Linked DNA regions of Caenorhabditis elegans. The protein of the gene in region 2 interacts with the protein of the main gene of each other region in a pairwise test. Each region holds a gene or a part of one and is shown on either strand. Other genes may lie near its edges. The genes, in order: rad-23 and btb-6.

What was found.
Region 1: the proteins of btb-6 (region 2) and rad-23 interact in a two-hybrid assay, tested with the Caenorhabditis elegans proteins (2 studies listed by BioGRID).

The regions. Positions count from the first base shown.
Region 1 is NC_003280.10:11,650,470-11,654,642, reverse strand, and holds rad-23 (UV excision repair protein RAD23), read left to right. Parts: upstream 1-1,913; 5' UTR 1,914-1,914; coding exon 1,915-1,986; intron 1,987-2,032; coding exon 2,033-2,116; intron 2,117-2,165; coding exon 2,166-2,969; intron 2,970-3,023; coding exon 3,024-3,035; 3' UTR 3,036-3,381; downstream 3,382-4,173. Other genes in the region: nep-1 (Neprilysin-1), read left to right, coding at 71-170; rpn-12 (26S proteasome non-ATPase regulatory subunit 8), read right to left, coding at 550-684, 736-1,131, 1,205-1,280, 1,327-1,382, 1,427-1,516; coa-7 (Cytochrome c oxidase assembly factor 7 homolog), read left to right, coding at 3,495-3,593, 3,640-4,053.
Region 2 is NC_003280.10:1,713,511-1,717,118, reverse strand, and holds btb-6 (BTB domain-containing protein), read right to left. Parts: upstream 1,817-3,608; 5' UTR 1,791-1,816; coding exon 1,693-1,790; intron 1,648-1,692; coding exon 1,209-1,647; intron 1,155-1,208; coding exon 1,016-1,154; intron 970-1,015; coding exon 686-969; 3' UTR 622-685; downstream 1-621. Other genes in the region: btb-7 (BTB domain-containing protein), read right to left, coding at 2,892-3,106, 3,154-3,304, 3,363-3,608.

The DNA.
Region 1 (4,173 bases), 9.9 Mb from region 2:
AAATATGTTACGCAATACACATCATCGTTCATTCAACTTTTTTGGCAACAATTATTTATAATTTTTTCAGAGTGAACACGGTTCTAACAAATCAGCCAGAATTTGCCGAGGCTTTCAAATGTCCAGCTGGATCTCCGATGAATCCAACGAAACGCTGTGTTGTGTGGTAATCAGAAAATACGGGAAAGGAGTCAACCAAGTTGGCACGCTTTATCTATCTGTCTCTCAGAATCTACTAAATCTTTCGTCCTTTTTTTTTACTCATCTAGCTGTATATATTGTTGAAAACAATAGACACTCGAATTCACTGTATTTTGTCCCTCTATGTATTTTTTCTCGAATTTTTCCAACTTCTTTTTTTGGTATATCATATTGATAGATGTTCTTGTTCATTCCAGAAATCTTTGTGCAAATAAAATTTTCAGATGTAATTAAAACTTGCTAAAACAATGCATCGGAAAGTTCATTTTCTTACAGTACCGAGAAAAAGACGCGAATAAATTAAAATCAGTTTACAAATACAATGCTTGAGTTCTTGAAAGACACCGGTTAAACGATTTGTTCGAGTTGCTTGGCGTAGAAGAGGGTTTGAGTTGCGACTCGCACTGTATCCAAATTCACAGGCTTCTCCTGAGCCACCTCAATTTCGAAAACGTAACGCTCTCCATCCAAATGCCATTTTCTCTGTAAATAAATATATTTTTTAATACTTGTAGCTTTAAAAATCATTATTACCTCTTGTCCAAACTTTTTCATTTGTTCGTCATTGTCGAACAGAAGCATGACCGTGGCATCCTTCGCTGTCAGAACTTTGAAAGACTTCTCGATAGATGTTGCGATTTCGCGACGGATGGTGTCAAGCATAATACGAATGAAAATAGTGTAGAAGGGGCTTGGAATATTCTTCTCGGTGAGCACAACCTTGTTGTAGGCTCCTTCCATGAGACTCTGTTCAATACGAACTGGCGTAGAGATGTAAGCGTTTGATGTTTGCTCTTTCTGTGGAATTTGTTCGAGGAGCATGTGGAAGTCGGACAATCTGTTGGCAGCGAGCAGGAACATCAGATGGAGTCCAGTCATTAAATGCTTGTTTTCAGAATTTTCTGGCGCCATTGTATAGTAGGTATGCATCTGGAAAATTAAAAATAATTTACAGATCGTTAAAAATTACATAAATTTTCCAAATAATTATTTAAAGACTCACCTGATTGATGTAATCGTCGAACGTTTCGAAATCGTGCTTCAGAATTGCCAAGAGCACCGAAATCTCGTACAAATCTCTGAAAATTAATAATTTAAACTCATTACACCAAAGAAAAATCTTACTTTGAAGCCAATGCAGACTGTTTATCATTCAAATCGCTGGAGGCACTGAGAACCTTCTGAAAATTCAATTTATTTACAATTTGACAAACAATTAACTGACCGTCAACTCATTCAGAGCCTTCTCAACTGCGACAAGATCTTTTGGCTCCTTTGCCCACACAGCCAGAAGATTTTTATGGGCGGCAGACATTTTCTTAAATCCAATAATGTTTTAATTTGATAAAATCGAAGATAAAAGTTCACGATAAACACAAGTGAAGTTAAAAAATAAAAATAAAACATTCAAAAAAGAAATAAACGCATTCTCCGTAAATCGACACAATGACAATTCTGGCAGGTCTCGCCACGAAGAGTGTTCAAATCATGTGCGCCTTTAAGACGCCAAGCCATTTTCTCTTCTGTTTTTTACCACTTATTTTGTTCTTCAAAATGGTTTTTTTGTTTTGTTCTTTTATTAATAATCAAATGTTTGTTTATTTTATACATATATACTGCTTGTTTTGCATTAATATCAATCTGTTATCGATATTTATTTCTTTTTCTTTCAATACATGACTCTATTCGTAACATTTCACAATTTTTTGCAGGATGGTTTTGTCCGTTACATTCAGGACTCTCACACAAGTTAACTTCAATTTGGAATTGAATGAAGATCAGACGGTAAGATTAGAGTTAATGTTCGACTTGTATTTTATTTTTCTTTCAGATTGCGGAAGTAAAGGCTCTGGTCGCTTCGGAGAAAGGGGATGATTATGCTCCAGAACTTCAAAAATTAATCTACAACGGAAAGGTATTACAGTGAAGGCTCATAATATCTTTAAAGTATGTTTTTTTTTTAGATTCTCGACGATTCTGTGAAGGTCGGAGAAGTCGGATTCGATTCTTCGAAGTTCGTTGTTGTGATGCTCAGCAAAAGGAAAGTCACAGAAGTTGCACCTTCATCTACCGTTGCCACAGCTGCTGAGCCTGTTCCAGTAGCTGCCGCTCCTGCGTCAAACCCAGCCCCAGCTGCCGATGTTGCTCCTGAAGCTGCTGCTCCTGCTGAGGCGGAGGCGCTTACGGATGAGCAAGAAGAGAACGTTCTCGCAATCACTGGAATGGGCTATGACCGTGAACAAACTATCGCTGCTCTGCGCGCAGCATTCTGGAATCCAGACCGCGCAGTCGAGTTTCTTCTCAACGGACTTCCTGATGATGCTGCTGACCAAGAACCAGATTTGGGGCCCGAGCAAAACATCGATAACGTGGATGAGGATGGCAATGACGATCTTAACATGCTTGCAAACATGCCACAGCTTGCAGAAATTAGAGCTTTGATTCAACAAAATCCTGAAATGCTCGCCGCAGTCCTTCAGCAGTTGGCTGCTGTCAACCCAAGACTTGTTCAGACTATTCAGAACAACCAGCAAGCTTTCATGGATCTTTTGAATGGTGGAGCTCAAGGAGCCGGAGCCGCTGCAGGAAATGCGCCAGAAAGAAACACCCCACGTCGCCATGTTATCCATCTCAGTCCCGAAGAAGCTGCTGCTATTGAGAGAATCAAAGCCATAGTTGTTAATGCACCAGAAGCTGTGGTTGTGGAGGCTTATTTCGCATGTGACAAAAACGAGGAAGCCGCTATCAACTTTATTTTCAGCAACCTCGTGAGTTTATTTCCATACGTAGATAATTAGAAGTTTAATTTTTAATTATTTCAGGATGAGGAATAATTATCTTACCCATGCCAATAACTTCTGATCACCGTCACTGGAAATTGCAACAGAAATTAATTTATTCTCTCTCCCCCATTTCCGTAAAGCTTATATTCTTGCTCCTATCAGCCTAATTTTTTTATTAACACTTCTTCCAAGAATGTGTATTCATCGCCTTCTCGATTGCCCTTTGTCTATATATTTAAGATAATAACACATTCAGTTCCATGTGCTGATTGTCACCCGCTACTGGTAGGCACTTCGTTGAAATTCTCGTCGCGTTCAGCGAATTTTGTGTGACATAATTTCGGTATTGTAATTCCCTTTTGTCATCCAACATTTTCAAATGAAAGTCAAATGTTTTAATGATTCTTCGTTTCGATTTATCAAACTTTACCCAATGAGTCATCACGATTTCGTACTCCAATATCGGTCGTTCATTTCTTCTGAATATGCGCTAATTCACTTTACTTGAAGATGTCTGGAAAAATAAGCGAAGAAGCTATGCAGGAACAGGCCGAAAGGGCGGAATATGTGAAAAATATTGGGATTGAGTACAGATTTGGATGCTACGAAGTGAGAAATTTGAATTTTCAATCTTTCTTTGAAGTTAAATTTTCAGGAAAAAAGGCCAGAATCCTGTCAATTGCTCGGCGAATACATGGAAGCTCTGCAACAAAATTTTCAAGCGGCCGTAGCGATTTTCAAGAAGAACTGTGACGAGAACAGTTATCCAAAGTCATGTTTCAAGTACGGAATGTACATGTTAGCCGGAAAAGTTGGAGACGATGCAAGTCTGTCAAAAATGATTCGACCGATGAAAATCGCATGTGATGCGAATATTCCACAAGGATGTCGATATTTATCACTTGTTCATTGGAATGGAGAAAAAGATCGGAAAGCTGATTCAGAAAAGGCTGAACGATACATGAGAAGAGCCTGTGAACTGGAAGATGGTGAAGCTTGCTGGTTGTTGAGTACCTGGTATATGGGAAATAAGGAGAAATTTAAGACGAATGCTGCAGGAGAGGCTAAGGTTTTTTTTTGTTTTTCAAAATAATGCGAAAAAGGATCGCCGCGCACCCTGCATCTATTAAAAAATGTTTTGTGTTCCTTTAAGATTACTGTAGAAAACTTTATTTCTAGTTTTACACAC
Region 2 (3,608 bases):
ATTCACCTAAAATGAATATGAATTTCGTAAATAGCGTGTTTTCAGCTTTCTAAAAATATTTTTTTCGACCCAAAAATCGCAAATTGATTTTTTCGTTCATTTTTCGAAAAGCAAAAGTCCGATTTCATTTTTCGGAGCGAAGGACGATTTTGGAGATGGACAGTGTTTTTTGAAAGATTTTTTAGGACATTGTAGAGACCTCAAAAAAGTGATCATTTTTGAAAATTTCAAGTCGGATATGAAGAGTTTTATGAGCGAAATTGGATTTTTTTCAGAAAACGGTCTGTAACTTGGCGGAACATAAAAATATCAAGAAACTTTAAACTGATAAAATATGGAAAAATATTTTTTACTTACCATTTAACAAAATTTATCTTTTGAAATTCAATGAAAGTTGAGTTATGAAGGATACAACAAAAGAGTTCTCAAAATTTTTCGTGAATTTTGGAAAAATGGCTTTGACTCTGTGTAACTCTACAAGTAGTTGGTGTGTTGATATACAAATTAATGTAGTAGAAAGAACAAATATTTCTGATCATTTTGTTAGTTGTGCAATTGTTTTTCAGACTTTTATTTTTTAAGATACGCCACTTTGAAGATACTTGGTTTAGCGATTCACATAAACTTTCGATAATTTATTTTCACAACAAAAAAGGACAATTCAAACGTAGCAACATAATAAAAATCAATTAATCAGCAATTGCATGAGACGATCCGAGATCTTGCCTCTAGCAAAATCCGACAATTTCTTGTAATCATCGGATCCTCCGAACTTCTTTGCCTTGTCCAGGCTGTTCATCTCTTGGATTGCCTTTTCCAGAAGCTTCTGCAATTCGTACTTGTCGGCCAGGAAGATCAATCTCTCATTGGAAAAATTGGTTCCACGAGTGAAGTGGTGTTCGACCTGGTGAATGACACATGAAATTTTGAACCGATTTCCTAGATGGAGAAGCTTCTCAGCGTTTTGATCTGAAAAATATATTAATTATTGTGACATCATAGTAGGCTTCCTTACCATTGACAAAGCCTGTTTCGGGGTGGATGATGCTCATGAGAAGGCCGAAATCCTCGTAGGACACATCTTCAAGCCTAATCTCCTCATTGATCTTATCAGCGAACAGATCGGAGAAATAGTCCGAGTGGTAGGAGAGGAACTGCAATTTTTGGGTTTAGTTTAACGAAAAGATCTTGTGAACCACAAAACTCACCGCCTTGCTCACATGAAGCTTCTTCTCCCCGATCAAGAGCACCGCATCGTGTCGGTTGGATGGCGCGAACAATTTCTCATAGGAAACATCACTACCAATTTCATGATCAGTAGGCTTGTGCTCCGGGACTTTCTGACCGGGGCTCTTTTTTGGCGTAAGAGCCACTTTGTTATCCGAGCACTTCTCCTGGCAACAATTGGGCGTAAGAGAGTACTTACATCGTAGGTAATTATAATCGAAAACATTCCAATTAATTTTTTGTGCATAACATTGTCCTGGTTTGTCAAGGGTAATACTCTCAAGTTGTTGGTTACAGCTCCCTCCCGAGTTATCAAATATCCACGTGAATGTGCCAGTTAGATCCTTAATCACTTTTTGATCCCAATCAAATTTCACTGTAGACAGAAACTGGTCATCAGGATTGAAAATTGAGACATTGCTGAAAATTGTATTGTTATATAAATGTTAAATAAAAAACACTCACCATTTTAATCCATTACAATCGCTGTAAAAAGTGATAGGCAGGGTAGCATACATCCAATCGCTTGCGAACTCCAGGGTTTCATTTTTAGTTTTGTCCATGGTGTCCATTAATTTCTCCAGGCGGTCTAGGAACACCAAAAATTAAATTTAAAAAATAAGCAGAGAAATAGGGAACGGTGATAATGGTGGGCCACAAGTGAAGAGAATGAATGAGCACGTTCAGATAATGCGCAGGTAGATTACATATGGAGTATCGATTTTTTTGATGAACGCGTTCGGAGACTGGGAAAAGACTGTTTTAGACCTTGGGAGGGTATGTATGTAATGAGGGCAGTGTAGCGGTGTACCAGGCCTGACTCGCCTCGTCCCCGTCAACTGTCTTTCTGCTAAATGGACAGGAATAGCGAACCACCGCTCTCTGCCCAGGAGACTACTCTCCTGGGAAGTGACACAGACATGAACTACGGAGTGCGCAGATATAGCCTTTTTTGAAAAGAGTATTCTGAGTGATATTGTGAGAGACTCGTGGTGCATCGATTGGCAAGTTCAGGAGCTGGGAAGAGGCCGGTGGATCCTTGGGAAAGTGAACATCTGTTGGGTGTCTTATAATCTTCCGATCAGGTAGTCAGAGGAGACAATAGCAGTCTTGGCGTCACGACGAGTTAGCTACAAACAATTGTGACTGAATATTCATAGATGGCTTTCTTCTAGAAAACTTCTAGAACTTCTAGAACTTCTAAACTTTCAGAAAATTCTAAATAAATAGGTGAAAACTTGTTTCCTTGGAAATCACAAAAAATACGCATAACAAAGTACGTAGATCAAATTTCCAGACAGGAGTAGCAAATTTTCTTCAATTTCTCCAACTTGTAGCGATCGAATTCTCCATATTTCTGTAAAATCTTTGATGCACCATGTTTAAATTACAGAATTTTCCCACCGACTGAGAACAATTGGCTGAGAAATCTATTTTGACCCATTTTGAAAAAAAAAACGTTGTATTCCAGATTTACAGAGTATTGCAAATTTTGAGAGGGCAAAGATATATTTTTATACAAGGGAAACTTTCTAATATAACTTTTCATAAAGATTTTCTAACCGAGAAATGCGAAAAATTAACTAGAATCGGACGAGGAACTGCTTCTGCTGGAGCTGCTGGAACTGGAACTCTCGCTGGATTCAGATTCACTTTCCGACTCGTCACTGGACCGAAATGGGCACCTCTCCCGGGGTTTTGTTTCCTCCATCGCAAGTGCACTCCTTGAGCAGATCCTTCATTCCAAACGTGTTCGCCATCAGAATCAGCTTTTCAATTTCAATATCCGAATGCCAGAGCAGATGGTGTTCCACTTGCGCGGTGACCGCCCGCATTTGGAATCGATTGGCGAGCGTCAGAAGCTTCGCGGCGGTCTTGTCTGGAAAATTGTATTTTTGACAATTTAAGCAAAAATATGCCACAAACCCGTGGGAAACACTAGATCCGGGTAGATTGTGCTGAGAAGAAGACCCATATCCTCAGCGGAGACGTCACGAATTGGGATCTCTGGAATCTCGCTTTCTGTGGAGCTCGCCGAGAACAACTCGTGGAAGAAGTCCGAATGGAAGGAGAGGAACTGGAAATTTATGGATTTTTACAGTTTTTGGGTTTTTGGTGAATTTAGATAGGCTCACCGCTTTATTAACATGAAGTTTTTCGCCACCAATCATCAAAATCGCATCTGTTTTCTGGGATGGCATGAACATTTCCCGATACGAAAATTTTTCCCGGATTGGTGTCAAAATGAGCTCCAAAATTGCTCGAGTTTCAGCAAGACTTTGTGTATTTTTATTTTCGACGGAAAAATTGACACGGTGCTCATCAATGTCCAAAATATCCAATTTCCGATGAATCAGCTCAAATATCGGATTTTCGGGGTC